2 linked regions of the Caenorhabditis elegans genome follow. The protein of the gene in region 1 interacts with the protein of each later gene in a pairwise test. Each region holds a gene or a part of one and is shown on either strand. Other genes may lie near its edges.

Region 1 (8,645 bases):
CACAGAGATAATGTTAGAATGATATATAATCCTTGGAAAACCACGAGATCGTCAAAATCACTTGTTCTCCCTCCAATTTTTTATCTACATTTGACGTTTTCCCAAATGTTCATCCAATTGTAATTCCACATGCCTTATCTATTGGAAGGTCATTACTATGTTCCAGACGCTCTTCTCACTGCCACAAAAAACCGGGTTTTTTTCTCCATCGTAAGGAGGAGACATAGTGCGGAGAGGGAGGAAGTCTCCCTGCTGCAGCTAGTATGGTCTGAAAAGATCCCGTCGTCTTCACTTTAACCTTGCCGACCTTCTAGGCCACCCGCAACGGCATCCCCTCTCCCCCAGTGCCTTCTCTCCAATTTTTTCATTCTCTTTCTTCCGAACGAAACGGTGTGAGTGTGTGTGTGTGTGTGGGGGTGGGCGCTGCGTTTTTCTGATGAGGTGCGCGCAGCTCGATTTTTTCTTTACATCTTGCGCCCCCGGGCGACAGATAGAGATGATGCCCGTTGCTGCCTGCCGCCACTGCCGCTGCTGCTGCCATCGACAGTTTCTTCTTCTACATCGTTTTTCTTCTTTTTTCTTCATCGTATTCCCAAAAAAGCTTGTTTGGCACCCCGCGACACACGCACTATCTCACCCCCTTTCTCTCTTCTTGTAAATGCCATTCAGAAACCGTCACCTCCTCCCCCCCTCGATCCCCGCCATCTCATTTTTTCATTGCCATCCGCGTAAAGTCGTTTTTCCGCCCTGCCACCCCCAGGTGTAATCCGCCCCATATCAGTTTGCCAGCTTTTGCACTTTTAGTTCTACCGTATCCAATGCCTGCGGTGCCCCACCCCCAGAGATTCCTTCACTCCATATTTGCTCCCCACCATTCCTCACACCCCAAATTTCTCTTCCTATCCTAGAACCTAAAACATAGAACCTAGATTTATGTATCGCAATCTTACCGTTCTCCTCCGCAAACGTAACGTCATACTAGATGCGAGTTTGCTCTCCAGTCACTTCACCCATCTCAATTACCTGTTAGCACCATCTGTCCATCTAGACCACCTTCCTGCTAGTCTCGAACTTGTAGTGGTGGTTACGCGCAATTGACAGTAATCCAGTATAGACACACAGCCATGCAATCATCAACATAATTGTGCTATAATCCACCTGGCATTACTTTGCCTTCCTTGAGATCCTGTTCTTTTTTCTCAGGTTCCTGAATCTTATTTTTGTGCTGGTTTCAGATTTTGATCATTGAAAATTTTCATTTTATAACATTTTTACCCTATCCACCCAATCCATCAAATCTCTTTTTCGTGTTTATGATGCAAATTTTGTGTAATAGTATATATGTTTTGATGTTTCGTATCTTACACACCATGTCTGGATGCGATAATTAATCCATATTAGTTCCTCCTGTTTTTTTTAATGTTCATCAACTTTTTTTTCTTATTGCTCCTCGTAAAGGTCCGTAAGATACCTACTGCCCAGCGAATACACACTTTACCACTTCTCTTACAAATATAGTAAGCACACAGTAGCTCGTCGCTATGAGTGCAAGTCAAATCCGGAGAAGCAGCTTATGGAGTACACGGGGAGGCATCGGGTTGAGATGTTTGGCCAAACCCGGAAACCGTATCTCGGTCCTTCTTCGCCTCCGCCGCCGCGAGACGACAAACAACTAGGCGAGGTCACCTAGCTGCTCTCAAAACCGTGGACCAGGCTCTCGCTAAATCAAACACACTCATAACAAGTCCAACTCGCAGTGGTTGCTAAAGAAGCTGGCTATCCATAAATTACTGCCTACTCCCCAAATTCGTATCCAGGCGCGTAACCAGTAATTTGGCGAGCCGTTGTAAATGCTTGTCAATGTGATCATACCTATGGATCCGGCTCCTCCTTTTCCCCCTCCTCCGCTTTTTTCGCTCCGATAATACATATTTTTCCAGTCACTCTTAGTATTTCCATTTTCCAATTTTCCCATATATTCCTATATCCGCCTGTTACCATTTCCTATACATTTCCTTTCTTATCTTCTGCCATCCGTAAACACACCTGATTATTGTGTGCAAGTCTCGTCGTGCCATATTCCTCGCTTTTTTCCCCTATTTTTCCTCGTTGTTCTTCTTTTTGTCGCCCATTTTCGTCTCATTACCAGATATTCCCTGTCAGGGTTTTTCATTTTGCTATGGTTATCATTTCAGTGATCTCAACAATGGATGAACTGAACGCTTGCACAGAATGCGGATTCACGACTACTGTATTTTCCGAGTTTCAAGGACATATAGGTAACCAACCTGTTCGGTGATACATGAATGCCAATTCGTTTGAAACATCCACCTACCCGCGCTTTGTCCATCTTTTTTTCATCTTAGAACGGAGACAAACCCGTAAAAATTCGGATTTGTAGCGGTTTAGTGAGCGCTTCAACCCATTAACTAACCCGCTTCTATTGCGTTTCACATTTAGCAACATTACCCCCTAATACTTTTTTTTTGCAGAGAAGCACGAAAACGAGCACAGCAGGTCTTCAAGCGGAGAAATGTCTAACTCGCAGGTATGTTATGGGAGAGTAAAATTCATCCAGAAGAGTGAGAGCGTGTGAGTGAGAGATATAGAAAAAAGGTTGCGTCATAATGCCATATTTGCCTAATTAGTGCCAGAGGTAGAGAAGATATGTGAGGGAACAACAGAACGTGGAAAAAATGAAGAGGGGAGGGATGTTGGATGTGACGTTGTAACACGTCTTCCAGACATGCCCCCTGAGACTCGTTAGAAACATTGAGACCAAGGCTTTTCAGACAATCGAGTGGGGAGATGGTATTCAGTCGTCCACGCCGTCGCCACGGTCCACGCCCCCTTCAGATCCAACGCCGAGTCCGGACTCGGATGAACATCTTGAACATCACATTTCGATAACAGAAATCACAAACACTCTCATCAAAAGTAAGTTTTCTTTGAATTGCATTTTCTTACACACTGGAATGTATTTCTATTGATGGTTAATTACCAAGTACCAATATGCAATTGTGAAACCTAAAAATTTCAGAAGAACCAGGCACCAAAGGACAAAAGACGGTTCACGTTTGCCCGCACTGTAATTTCACCACTTGTATGTCGCAACACATGAAAAGCCACTTGGTAGGTTCAAGGATTTTTACCCGTTTTCTTGAAAGCATTCTCTTGTTCTATAGGTGACGGAAGAGTGAAAGATACTTTCAGTACATTATTACGCATGTTCCCAAGGGTACAAATTAATTTTAGCATGTAAATCTGTTGATGGATATGAAAGTCTTTTCAATTTCCCTCTTTTCCACTTTTCATCAATTCCTTGTAAGGTGGGTCCTGTAAGTCAACACTCCGTGAACCTTTTCTCTTCTCCCACTCGCTCCATGCCGCTTTTCTCACAAACTACTGTTTACTTTCTATCTACTGTCCAGTTAACTGCGTCTCTCACTTGACCCTACTGTTTTTTGTTCCGACGGCCAATCCCATCACTTCCCGAACGGTCATCGGGATGAGTAGTAGTGGAGTGGTATGGGAGAAGGAGGCAGGCTCCTCATATATTGGCTTTTCTTCTTAAGGATGTTGCCTTTCATGTGAGCCGGTGTCATACTAATTGGTTAAGGCAGAATCTTCCGAGAAACCAAACCAAAAAAAACATAGATTTTCCCTTTTTCGGTTATGTAGTGACATCAAGCGGTAGAGATTGGGATGGGTGGAAGAAGATGGGAGGAAAAAGAGGCGTTTTTGGAAAAAGAAACGGGAAGACCAGATACGGGGGCAGTACAAAAAACGTGATGACCTTAGAAATCACATGACATACCAGTGAAGATTCTTGAACATTTCAGGAAGCGCATGAACGCCATCAAGGCCAAATGTACCAATGCGACATCTGTAAAATGCAGTTCAGCCAGAAGGTGAGCAATTTTTAAAACATTTTCTGAATCGGAATCTGGTTTTCAAACACTCGACAACTTTTGAATCATTTGGATTTTCCAAGTATGGTTATCGTGCTGATTGATCTTCTTCTTTGATTCCCTTTTCACTTTCTTCCTGTGGTTTATCAATGTTGCGTTTTCAGGCTAACATGCATCGTCATCGGATGCGCCACAGCGGTGTGAAGCCATACGAGTGTCGTTTTTGCAAAAAACGATTTTTCAGGAAAGATCAGGTATGCTTGTCTGGCATATTTTTTATTACCCTCCACCTCCTAGCCCCACCATTTAACGGCTGTTGCGTAAGAAGCCGCTGCCGCCTTCCGTAACTCAAAAATCGTGTTTTATCTTCAATTTACGTAATCAAATGGAAAGTGAAACTGATCTCCCGTAAGGAAAGGGAAATTGAGGGAAGAAGGAGGCGGCGGATTGCCGCCTGAAGGTCGTTTTCAATTTGGATATTTTCACTTTCCCGGAAATAAGAAGAGTCTCTTCCATGGATGGCAGGGAACTGCCGCAGTGCCCATCAACCATTTCTTCAAGCGCTCTGATGATATCTGTTTGCCCAAAACCGTTCTTGAAGGTCGACGAGCCTGAAGAAAACAGGAAAATCGGGGGGAACCAATTTGACGGTATTGGTGTCAGGTTATGCCGTCGAATATGAAAACGGTTGGCGCGTCTTTCTTCTCCGATTCTTCATACTATCCGACGACGTTGGTGAAGATGAGAAGTAAAAGACCTTGACGATAGCACGCGCATTTTCTTCGGAAGATCCTACCTCCCATCCTACCTTCTAGCATCTTCTCGATGTCTCCATATTTTTGCCGCTCTTTACTGTGTACCTTACCCCCAGGGCCAATCAGTAAAAAAAAGAAGAAATACCAACCGTCGGCGGTTTTTTTTTTGTTCTAGCTGCGTCTCTGATTGGTTCCCGAAAAGTTGAAAGCCATCACCCTCGCTCGCATCAAAAGGGGTTTTTATAATGAAAGACAAAGGTTGCGGGGCGAGGAGAAAACCAGAGAAAATTGTAAATTGTAATATTGTGTGAAAGTGAAAACCGATTTTTAGATGTTAAAAACATACCGTAGTCATGTTTTAAACATGTAACTTAAAATAAACCTATAACTTTCAGATGCAAGAGCATTCAATGACACATATCAAAACGGGTTTTGGTTTCGACTGTCCAGTATCACAATGTAACATGCAGTTTAGTCAGCACAATGCACTCCGAGCACACTTGGAAGAAACGCACACAATTTCGTCAACAAATCCCGCGTCATGTAAGCGATGTAATTTGATGTTCGCCAATTCGCGACGTCTTCTCCTTCATTTCCAGACAAGACATGACGATTCTGAGGTAAGAGATGTAACTTCAGATTACACGGAAACGTAACACATGATTAGCGAGCAGAACCTGAGCCTTATTAGGTGATGTTTTTCTCGTTCTCGGAGCTTAATTCGGTTGCCCCAAGAGACGCACTTTCCGTGGAATCTCTCTCATCATGTGATATCCTGAACGTGAACTCTTATTTCTCATTCTGATTTTCAGTCTTCTCCGAAAAAAGAAAACACGCCAAAAAGGAAGAAGCTGTCGAATGGAAATGCTTTGCCAATGGATCCTGCGAACATGAGCATAACAGAACAGTTGCAAAGAATGGTGAAATCAGAGTTTAGCCCTCCAAACACCGACACCTCCGATAACTCCACAAGTTCTGAATTCGACAAAATTGTAAGAATCTTTCTTTCGTTTCTTTTTGAATAAAAAGCATTTCCATGATTCCATGGTTTTATTTTCAGCCACCAAGCTTCCCTATGGCTAACCCAGATATTTTGTTGATGTGTCTAAACCAAATGAACCAGTTCAATGGATTCGGAGAAAACATCCCAAGACCAATGCTCAACATTCCAAATATTCCATTGCCGGTATCAATGAAACCTTCACACTTTCGCTAATTAACCTTTGCATTTCAGGCTCTTCACAACATTCCAGCAGTGGCAGCGATTGTGAAGCAGGATCAGGTGCAACTCTGGTCAGAGCAGACGTCAAGCTCTGTGAGTGTCAGTGCTCCAAGTCCGAGTGAACAGTCGCACTCGCCGCCAGCCAATGAGTCATCACTTTCGTTAACTGAAAAAGAGAAATCACCGACTCCCGAAAAAGAAGACGAGGAGAATGTGGTATGTGTTATCGCTAATAACAACTTGTTATTGAAAATGTCACCATTTTGTTTACCTTTTTTCGAAGTGCAATTAGAATTGTGAGCATCGTCAACAGAGTTTTTTTTTCCAAAAATTGGGACTTTTGATCCATTTCTTTGTTGATGCCAAAATTTGGTTTTATCAACCTTAAAAACATAGACTGATTAAATGATTGCCAATTTGTTGCAACTTTCGGAACGTTCTCATTTGAGAAAAAATCTAAAAAAAGAGATAGAAAAACCGAACATTACACCATGTATAGTTTGATGAGGAGGTTTTCAATTTCTCGTAGATGTCACAAGTTTTCTTTGAAATCTGAAGGATGATGGATTCTCTACATCACCCACCTTATCAGAACTATCAACTTTCTCTTCCGAAATTTGAATTTAAAGGAAAACTATAGGTTTTAGGTATTTTGAACATTTTGCAATGAGACTTCTCAAAAAATTTCAAAAAAAAAGAGTTAATTTTAGCTAAAAGCCCGGCCTTTGCCTTTTCCGGTTCGCAGCAGCTGATACCATTCAAAAAAAAGTTCGGACTGCTGCAGTTTTTAGCTAGAATTTGGCAGGTTTTTTCAAAAATTCAAATTTCGATTAAAAAAAACTTTTTAAAAAGTTTCTGTTAGAAACTTCATTGCAAAGCTCGTTAATTCGTGCGCTTTCTGTATATATACTCAAAACACTCATAACCGTTACTCATTTAATGGCATCTAACTCTAGAATTATTTTAGGAATGCTGTCATTGCGGAATGATGTTCTACGACAACACAATGTACCTGCTCCATAAAAGTCTTCACTCGGACGGTGATCCTTTCAAATGCGCATTGTGCGGAACTCAGTGCGGCGAGAAGTACATGTTCACTACTCATGTCATTTTTGCCGATCATAGTACTCAAGCAACGACTTCCGCCTGAATTCACCATCATCCAAGAAATATCCCCCCGATTGCCTTTCAGTTTTAGTAGTCAGTCTAGCGAATCCAAAACACCCCCATTCTTTCATCCACATTTTAATTTTTGTTTTTTTTTTCGGTTTTCTTCGGTTTTTTTCGATGCATATTCACAGTCAATTCTGATTACCTCTTTATTTGTCACTTTCTTTCTTCATAACAGGGAAACAACGAATGATTCTGCTTCTTCTCATTGATTCTCAACAGCTCTTTGTCTCTATCAAAAGTATTTGCCCCGTGTTTTTGTCTATTTCTCATCAATATTAAACCATCAAATATCATTATTTACATTTTTAAAAACTTTCTTCATCTTCTCCTGATTCTGCTCTCTATCTTGTTTCAATTCATTTGCACACGTGTCAAAAGTCATTTTGGACCCGTTAATTTTTTCCGTAACCTTGCATTGTTAGGTTTTTGTTGTTAGTGTTTTATTTTCCTTTCTCACCACCACCCCTCATCAAAATTTGTACAATTTCAATGATTTCTTCGAATGTATTTTAAACTAGTGAACTTCAACTGATATTCAGAATTTTTGAAGGCCTCCTTATCTGTTCCACCCATCCCAAACATTTCTTTCCGATTAGAATAGTAATTTTATCAAGCTTTCTCTCTGTCCCACTGTCCCATCAATTTTCTTCCCATTTCAAAATAAATTTTGTTGAAAACATACTGGAGAATAGAATACTAGAAAAAAGTCATGGTGGCTAGGAAAACGGCTAAATGGATTGGCAGGCAGTCTGTGATTGACATTGGCCCAGCGTATATGGTTATGAGTCGTGTGCTGCTCACTACGGACAATCCGGTTCAGTTGGGCAGTGTCCCACGGGGACTTGCCAAGAACCCAATGCATCAACATTGTGCTCTGCAGGACCAACAATAGTGGCTCTCTTTCTCATATTTTTGTCAAGATTAGCGACTACTAGATCAGTTTTATTTATAGCCATTTGTAAGGACATTTGAACTATTTATGGGTTGTTGTTTTATTTCAAACTGCATCTATATTTGTTAGCAGATTGATAAAAAGTAGAACTATCACAACACAAATTGCAGGTGCCTTTCGTCAGTTATCTGACAGAACATGATTGAGAAACACGGTTGGCGAAGTTTCCAGTTTTTGCCATATTTTTTTTACAATTTCGCATTAAACCTAAAAATTCATGTTTATTCACATAATTTGATGAATGAAAAATTAGCTTGCTGGATTCTGAAATTTTGCAATTTTTTCCTCACAATTTTATGCACAAAAAATTTTCAAAAAATTTTGTTGAATATATTTTTTGAACTATAAACAAATGTTACATTTTTACATTTTATGAATTTTAAAAATTCAGAAAACAATAAAAACAAAAATTCCGGTGCTTTTTAAAATATCGTTTTATGAATATTCAGTTTGATAATTTCCAGGAATTACTATTTTTTTTAATTAAATTTTTTAATCTCAAAGACGGAAGTGTAAAAAATTGTTTTAAAATTTTCCAAAGTTTGCTTTTTTTTTTCAATTTTTTCAATTTTTTCCAAAAAAAAACAATAGGAAAACAATCTTCGACAAATAAAAAAACAATCTTCGACGGA
Region 2 (8,518 bases), on another chromosome or scaffold:
TAAAAGAAGCGAGATCTGAAAAATGCCTGAAAAATTTGGCTCCGAGTTAGGGCACTTCGGACGGCAAAAAAATTTTGTGACTATTGTCAAATGAAAGATCATGGTTGATAACATAAATTCCCACAGTTTCATAAAAATCGATACGCAGTGAACAAAGTTATGATTTTTGACCCGGAACTTATTTGGAGACCTAATAGTTTCAGTTACTATTTTTTGCCCAAGAACATGGCTTCGCCAGTTTTAATGTGTGTACCTTTAAAAAGTACAGTAACCCAGTTTTTTTCAAAAAGTATAAGAATAGGCTACCGTACTGCTTAAAGGTACACATATTGCTGTGAGACTGCAATTTTAAGTTATTTTGTGCGTGACGAGACCTTTTCTTGACTCAAACATTGCAATTACGTGAATTAGCTTACCTGTCTAAAAATCTCCATATCGAAAATCTTCAGTGAACACTTATTTGCAATTTTAACAACAGTTGTTGAGTGAAATCCATTGATATAATTACAATTACTAGATTGTACGAATATAGCTGAATCACTTTCACATTGAGCAAAGAGTGAGCCATTGCTACGTACGTAGGTTAGCTTGACACCTGGAATTACAAAAAGTTTGAAAATTTTCAATTTTTTAGTCATAGTCTTGCAAAAATTATGCGCCGAAGTACGGTACCCAATCTCCCGAAAATCAGGTTACTGTACTTCTTGAAGGCGCACGCGTGTTTTGCTCGGCCTTGATTTGAAAGTAATTCGTTCGTGGCGAGGCCGTGGGTGCTCTTACCGTTTCCAATATGTCTTCTTGTATTTTCAATAGTTGCATTTCGATTTACATTCGAAAACAGTCCCAGGCTAATTTTGCTTCCATTGATGCATGGATCAGTGAATCCATCGATAGTTATAGTTGTTGAAGACACTTTAACCTGTTCTCCGACTCTTGTATTCAATTCATAATAGCTAACAGTTGCCCAGAATTGTTCTTCCCAAACTTTATCGAATGGCACGAGACATGTTGGAACTCCTGGTGGAATGTCGAATTTCTGAGAAGTATCCATTTCCTCAATTCCATTTGGATTGTATTGATGAAATTGGTTGGCTCTAGAAAATTATTTATTAAATCCCTAATTAGAAAATATATTGATAATATTTCAACCTTTTTTTCTTTTCGTAACCTTTTCCCTCTCAAAGTTATTTTGGATCCAATTTTATTTACAACTTGCGACGATACTCCGGAATTCCACCGCATGCTGTTTATCGTAAATATTGCCTACTTTTCTTATCACTGAAATTTTACATCATTTTACCAATTTTTCTTCATTCTCTTTGAATTCTCAATTTTTCTAACTTAATCTTAACTTATATCATTTATCTATTTATTATTTTGTAGATATAATGGTCGAAACGACTGGAATCAGCGACCAAACGAAAAAAGTGCTGATCGGTGTGGCAGCTGCAGCGACAGTTGCAGGTGTAGGATACTTGGTATATAAGAGTTTTGGAGGTTCAGACGTGAGTTTCTAGTGTACAATGATATCAATTTCAAAACTAATTTCAGCTGGAAAGGGACTTGGAGGAAATAAAAGCATTGGGAAATTTGAAGTTTAAAGAGAAACAATACGATTCCGCACTAGAAGCATTCACAAAAGGAGTCGAAAAGGCCGGACCAAACTCTTCTGATCAAATTGTCGCAATGCTCTACCAAAATCGTGCAGCCTGTCGTGAAAAGGTTGGACACAGCCCTTTTGATATCCTCAACGACTGTATGGCTGCATTGAAAGTAGACAAAAAATACACCAAAGCATACTTGAGAGCAGCAAAAGCACTTAATGACGTCGGAAAGAAACAGGATGCTCTGGCGTGTGAGTTTCTGAAGATGTTACGAGAAAAGTATCAATTCCTGTTTTTAGATCTTCTTGCCGCGTTCACTTTGGATTCTAGCCTGAATAAGACGAATTTCGAATTCTTTGGAAAGCTTCTTGCTATAGAACCCGTAAGAGCCTAACAATTTCTTAAAGAAACTCAACTTTTTATTCTAGATGTCCGACTGTCACATTGGAAAACCACTCAAAATCGAAGATGTTAAGCCACAGCCAGTAGCTTTGTTCAGAATTCAGCAGTGGTGTGATACTTGGGATATTCTTGATCTTTTCAAAACAGATCTCACCAGATTCGAACCAGAAGTGCTCAGTGAAGACCAGAAGTAAGCTCTAATTCTAGATATACAGTAAAAATAATTATAAATTTCAGACAATACCAACTTGCACTGGAAAAGTTCAAAAAAGGAAAATACGAAGAACTGATTGATCTGCTTACTGAGGAAAACAGCTATCCTCCGGCAATGATCTTGCGTGGAAAAATGCTAAGCTACAGTACTGATCCTAACGAGGCAACGAGATATATCGATAAAGTTGGAGCAAAAATTAACGAACTGATTGGATCAGAAGAGGATGAGGAACGCAAAAAACTAATGAGAGATGCTTTCGATATTCTCAAGATTGAGCTAATGTATACTATGGCAGATTTGGATAAGTTAGTTTTTTTTCTTGATTTTCCAAAATATTTCCAGGTCTTGTCTAATTTTTTCTAATTTTCAGATTCCTGGAATCAGTTCCAAAAGACGATAAGGAAAGACTTTTCAAACTTTATTCGTTTGCATCTATTTTTGTGGTAATTCGATTAAATCATTTTTATTCTCTAAAAATATGGTTTCAGTATAATGGATGTGTTCTCGATACAGCAGTGACGAATCATGAGCAACAAATGATGGCGGATACAGTAAATTTAAATTCATAATTTTCTTATTTATAATTATTTAATTTTCCAGAACAATGCCAATAGACTTCTCACAGAAGCTGAAAAGAACGGAACTCTCACTCCACATCTTTCCATGATTGTTACATTCCTGAAGTTGTGTACCAGCGAAGACTACGCTGATGTTCATCGACGAATCCGAGAAATGGAAGAACTCGCAGAGAGTAGATCTACTCATTTCAATCTGGTTCTTATGTCCAAAGTATATATGATGACTAATAATGAGGAGAGCTCGAAGAAGTTGCTCGAAGAGGCTGCAAGGATTACTACGAGATATTTGGTGCCAAGTAGGCATTTGCAGACTGCGTAAGTTTAGATTTTAATTTTCTGAAATTCGCCGACTGGTACCAGTTGCCGAGATTTTATGAAAAAAAAAATAAAACAAAAAATCGAAAATTAAAAATTTTTTTTGACTTTTCGATTTTTTTCAAAAAAAAAAAAAAAAGAATCGAAGAATATACTCATAAAATTCGATTTTTGAAATAAATTTTGTTTCTGTTGTTGAAAAAAGAAGAAGTATAATTTTCTTTTAAAAGGAAGGAAAATGGCAAAAATTTAAGCTATCGGAAAGTTGAAAAATCAAAAAGTGCGAATTTTTTGTTCAATCACGTCATTAGGGACCAGCCTGCGAATTTTAAATTGAAATTCCCATCGGCTTCTAAGTTCTACGTTAAATACAATTAATTTTCCAGTGATCTCCACGTGCACAAACCAGAAGCTGAACGACTCAGATTGACAACTGAAAGTGCCAACGCAGCAATTGCAGTTGATCCATTCAATTTCTCGGCTCACGTTCTTCATCTTTTGGGAACTAACGGGCCAGAGCCGATGATCAAGAAGTAAGTAAAAAAGTTTCAGAGTTCCACTAAAAAATCCAAGTCCTTTCAGAGAAAATTACGAGCGAGCAATGGAATCAATTCGAAATGCAGCTCTATTTGCCCCACCACGAGAACTTCTCATGTTGAAGAGAATGATTCCATTGATGAATGCTAAGAAACGTGCAGCTGAAATGCTCGATATGTATTAATTTAAAGAATTTTTGAATAGTTGATAGGCTGCTTTGTTACCTGTTTTTCCCCTCATTTCCCCGTTTTTTTTTTAAGTTTTCGGGTTTCTCAAAATCAACCCATCCGTTTTCCAGTTCCGTTCCTTACCTACTGTGTTCGTTTTCTTATTTTATTCTTCGCTTTTTTGTTTTTTTGTTCCCGATAATCTCATAAATACCAGATATTTCAATTTTTCTTCAATCAGTAATACCATATATTTTTTAAACACTTACGTAAAATTAACGTTTGCCATATTGACATTCTGCGGCATTCTTGATCCGCTCATCTCCATCAACTGAAATTTCGCCAGAGTTGGGGGCACTTCTTGTGGTGGTTTCTCGGAATAACGAGGTACAAGAACTGGTGGAAGTACTCCAGTTGCATGAACTCTTTTGTAATGATATGGATTAATGCAAATATCCTTTTGCCCTGATTCGTAGCAGAATCGGCAATCTTCAATTGCTTTCAATTCATGATGTGATTGAAGATCTGGCCAACGATAGACACGGCAATATATCACATGAGGAAGTGCCTGAATTTTTAGTACATAGGATTTGGAATTGTTCCTAACATTTTTTCTCAGAGTGGATTATTTGAATTTTCTGTGAAAAATGATAATCTCCAGCTGTTCAAACAAGCATTTCACGAAGAAGCTTCATTTCAAAAAAAATTGAAAATCGAACAAAAGATCAGCTAACGTTTATAAATTTTTTAAACTTTTAAATTTCATAAATTTAATATGATTTTTCATAATCTAGGTTAAGTTTTGGCTGGTGTAATTTTTGTGAAAATATCAAAAAATTAGCAGAAAAATCTATGTTTTTTCTAATATCGTTAGGATGTACTGTAGAAATTATGCAAATTTATAAATTAAAAATGCAAATGGGACTGACACGTGGACTTTTGCCCATAAAATCAAAAAAGATCAAATCAATTTTTGAAATTGTTCAAACGACTAGTTGACACAATTTTACAATTTAAAAATTTAATATCATTTTTCAAAATCTAGTCGGTCGATTAATCGAATAAGTAAGTCTGTCTCTGTTTCTAGTTGATGTTCATAAACAAATAGGGCACCCCTTCATTTTGAATTTGTTTACTTCTTCTCCCCATTATTCTCTTATTCTATACTAAAATCACCTTTCGATGCGAAATTTGAAGTCGTCCATCTAGTGACCGCGGAATTGTCACGCATTCGGTTTTTTGTTGTCCTTGGCACTGAAATGATATAGTTATTGATTTGAGGTTATTCTACGATTGAAATATCGGATATATGTAGTTTTTATTGATTTTTAACGAGTTTAAAGTATGTGTAGTCTATTGCTAGATTATTTCATTTCTATTCATAAAAAAGAAATCTTAAGATCAAATTGAAAGATTCAAAAGACACAAAACACATGAACCCTCAACGCGAATTCCAAATTTTCCAACGCCTGCTTGTTATGCTTTATCAGCTTCTTCATCAAGTTGTCGATCGCCTTTTTTGCCCAATTCTCATCCTCGTCTCCTGTAAAATACTTATTTCCGTCAGAAATCCGATTTCAGTTTCGATTCTAGATTTCCGCCGTTGATTGTAATATTTCCCCACCCTATTGGTCTTTTGGACAAAAATGAGACTTACCTTGTTTCCATTTCAGTCTCTCCGTGATCTTTTTTATTCCGTCGAAGTTTATCTGAAAGGTTCGTGGTTTTTTGTTGTGAAATAAAAAATGGTTATACAATTTTATCTATTTTCGAAAAATAAGAATTCTTGGGAATTGGGTTCTGATACGAATGAAATTTTTCAGCTACCGTACTCTCTATTACTATTTGTCTCTCTTGTCTCGATTTTTTCAAGAATTTTATTGTAGAAATCACATATTTTGGAAAAATGTTTAAACTACGTCAAATATTAAAATATGTAAAACGGAAGGTTCAAACTTTGAAAGCTGAGAATTTCAAAGTCTATGGTGTTCACGGGGTACTGTAGCTGAAAAATTACACACGTTCCAGGACTCAAGGCCCTGGTTTTGAGGAAGTAATAATAATTTTTACAAACTGGTAGTGGTTAGACAATATCGAGAAGATATTTCAGTTTCTTATTTCACAACAATATTTTGGGAAATTTTTAAACAAATTCTTTATAGGAAAACATAAAAAATGTAGCTACATTTTTTGAAATTTTTAAAAATGATTTTCGTATTTTTTTCAAAATTTTAAAGACTCATTGAGTTCAACAATTTGAATTCTATTTTTTTTTTTCTTTAAAAAATTTGAATTACAAAATTTCGAATTTTTTTTGAATGTTTATTCTTAAATACAAATAAAAACTTACCATGATTCTAATCTTCTTGAAATATTGTAAAAACTAATAGATCACAAGAAGATTCTATAAATAAGAAACATTGAAAATAGCCTGTAAATGCGCACTCCTTTACCTTTTTTTCTTTCTACCTCTGTAGCCTCTCTAAAGTGCCTGGTATCTCATAAATTGTTCTCAGCTTCACCAGCCCATCATCAACCGTCTAACTGTCTACTCATTGTTTTCAACTCTCCGTCTCTCCAAATTGTGCAATCATCTTCACAGATGTGTTTCCACCCGGCGACAGTCAACTTGTGTCCCTGCGCCCCCGTTATCGTCATTAGTAGCCAACTAGACATCATAGTATAGTAGAGAGACTCAGAATATATAAAATGAGACAGTGTTTGAAATAGGAAGACTTAGAGACGCAGAAGGGCGACAGTCTGGAGCCAAGCAGGGAATTAATGGAATTCATTTATTCATGTTTGAAAGGAAAACGGTATTGGGGAATATTCATCACTTTTGTTTGAGAAGGGACCAGGTGTCATCGGATAAAATAGTCTATGGTTGTTGTGAAGGTAGGCTTTGCAAAAACCGGTCTCACTAGATCAAGGAACACCAGAAAACACACTTTTTTGAAATTGTGTTGCTTTTGTGCTTAAATTAAGAGAAAAATTCTTGCAGCAGAAAATATTTCACGCCCTAAAATTTTGATTTTCATGGTTTACAAATTACCGAATTTTATCAGAAAGCATAATTTTCTGAAAAGAAAAGATTCCGAGAATCTCAAAAGATATAGAAATTTCTAGTCTGCTCTATGCACTCATTCAATATTTACATTTTCTATATAATTTCAATTTTAACGAATTTTCATAAGTAGATTCTTTGACAGAAGGTCAAGTAGTGTCTTGTCCTTGAAATTTCCTTCTTTGTTAATTCATGTTGCTAAGGAACATAAGCGTTGCTTGGAAGCATCGGAAAATGTTATATTTTTTTGTTCTCAATGCATTTTCAAATATTTCATTTCTAGAGAATATCTATCTATTTTTCAGTCTTTTAAAAAGTATCAAAAAATGATTTCATGGGTTTTATCATCGCGTTTGTGAATAATGATACTTCCTCTCAATTTTATGCATGAACGTGGCGTTTTTACAATAAAAAAGAGAAGAATGATCTAGACAAACATACACCCTTTTTATCAGACATCATACCCCAATAGCACATTTTCTTATCTTTTTTTTTCTGAAAGCATTTTTCAATATTTACTGATTATTTTTTATGAAATATACAACTTTCAGGAATGAAATTCCAAAATGTACATATATCACATCAAGATGAGGACAAGGAGAAGCTACTGCCAAACGATAAGGATGTGGAGAAAGCGGATGGTAGGAAGTTTCTAATATTATACAGTTTTCAAAAAGTTTTGGTATTTCTTCAAAAAAAAAACTTTCCGTAAAAATTGAAAAAAAAAATCGAAAAACAAATTATCGGAAAATTTACTCTCGACATTTTTTAAGTTTTCGTATGTTATTTTAAAAATTTATATAATTCCTTCTCAAAACTCTGTATCAAAATGCCAAGTATTTCAGAATCCCCGTCATCATCTCGTCCAAGTTTTGTCTTCAAATGCTATGTTATTGCCAGTATGACATTCATTTGGACAGCTTACACATTAACAATCAAATACACAAGGAGTACTGTAAATCCAGATATGGTAATATATTTTGAAATATAGTTTTGGAAGACTTTGATTATTGAATTTTCAGAAATTTTTTTTTTTCAAAATTCAAAATTCAAAAAGTTTGACAATAAAATACAATTGATAATTCATAGCGAAATATAAAAAATCATGTTTAACTTTTCTGAAAAAAATCCAAAGTGTGAAAACGGTTTTAAGAAAAATTTTTTTTTTTTTGATCCCAAAGCACCAAAAAAACACACAGAATTGATACAAATATTTCAATTTTTCGAAAGTATGCATTTTTATTTCAGATGTATTCTTCAACATCAGTAGTCTTATGTGCCGAAATTTTGAAATTAGTGATCACATTTGCAATGTTCTACAAAGAATGTAACTTTGATAGCAGACAATTTTCCGAGGTAGATCTACCGTATTCTTTGAAATCTTAAAATTATAATTTACAGCAAGTCAGTAAATATTACATAAATGCTCCACGAGAACTTGCCAAAATGAGTGTCCCATCGTTTGCGTATGCTCTTCAGAATAATTTGGATTTTGTGGGATTGTCGAATTTGGATGCGGGACTTTATCAGGTAAATTGTCATAGAAATATTAAAAAATATATAATCAAAAAACCTTTTTTCCTATGAAAATAACAAAAAGAATCAATTTTTCATTAAAACCAAACAAAAAAAATTTT

Evidence for each region.
Region 2: the proteins of ztf-16 (region 1) and sma-2 interact in a two-hybrid assay, tested with the Caenorhabditis elegans proteins (2 studies listed by BioGRID).

Annotation. Positions count from the first base shown.
Region 1 is NC_003284.9:4,805,087-4,813,731, reverse strand, and holds ztf-16 (Zinc finger protein ztf-16), read left to right. Parts: upstream 1-2,191; 5' UTR 2,192-2,206; coding exon 2,207-2,279; intron 2,280-2,492; coding exon 2,493-2,548; intron 2,549-2,792; coding exon 2,793-2,937; intron 2,938-3,040; coding exon 3,041-3,132; intron 3,133-3,486; exon of another isoform or gene 3,487-3,624; intron 3,625-3,842; coding exon 3,843-3,911; intron 3,912-4,075; coding exon 4,076-4,165; intron 4,166-4,227; exon of another isoform or gene 4,228-4,368; intron 4,369-5,061; coding exon 5,062-5,286; intron 5,287-5,478; coding exon 5,479-5,658; intron 5,659-5,726; coding exon 5,727-5,852; intron 5,853-5,900; coding exon 5,901-6,104; coding exon of another isoform or gene 6,105-6,188; intron 6,189-6,855; coding exon 6,856-7,038; 3' UTR 7,039-7,734; downstream 7,735-8,645. UniProt on the Caenorhabditis elegans protein: Positively regulates the expression of ver-1 in the amphid sheath glia of amphid sensory neurons. Together with ehn-3, plays a role in somatic gonad development and is required for proper gonadal primordium assembly and somatic gonad precursor cell morphology.
Region 2 is NC_003281.10:8,747,616-8,756,133, reverse strand, and holds the start of sma-2 (Dwarfin sma-2), read right to left. Parts: upstream 6,455-8,518; 5' UTR 6,271-6,454; intron 6,222-6,270; 5' UTR 6,171-6,221; coding exon 6,168-6,170; intron 5,527-6,167; coding exon 5,475-5,526; intron 5,361-5,474; coding exon 5,257-5,360; intron 5,072-5,256; coding exon 4,994-5,071; intron 4,386-4,993; coding exon 4,087-4,385; intron 4,040-4,086; exon of another isoform or gene 3,835-4,039; coding exon of another isoform or gene 3,696-3,834; intron 3,647-3,695; coding exon of another isoform or gene 3,500-3,646; intron 3,114-3,499; coding exon of another isoform or gene 2,821-3,113; intron 2,772-2,820; coding exon of another isoform or gene 2,709-2,771; intron 2,664-2,708; coding exon of another isoform or gene 2,591-2,663; intron 2,526-2,590; coding exon of another isoform or gene 2,244-2,525; intron 2,197-2,243; coding exon of another isoform or gene 2,033-2,196; intron 1,987-2,032; coding exon of another isoform or gene 1,904-1,986; intron 1,856-1,903; coding exon of another isoform or gene 1,552-1,855; intron 1,506-1,551; coding exon of another isoform or gene 1,389-1,505; exon of another isoform or gene 1,384-1,388; intron 1,243-1,383; coding exon of another isoform or gene 1,169-1,242; intron 1,095-1,168; coding exon 781-1,094; intron 731-780; and 4 more. Other genes in the region: Mitochondrial import receptor subunit tomm-70, read left to right, coding at 1,389-1,505, 1,552-1,855, 1,904-1,986, 2,033-2,196, 2,244-2,525, 2,591-2,663, 2,709-2,771, 2,821-3,113 and 2 more; ugtp-1 (UDP-galactose translocator 1), read left to right, coding at 7,435-7,522, 7,727-7,851, 8,130-8,237, 8,283-8,411. UniProt on the Caenorhabditis elegans protein: Involved in TGF-beta pathway. Plays a role in male tail tip morphogenesis.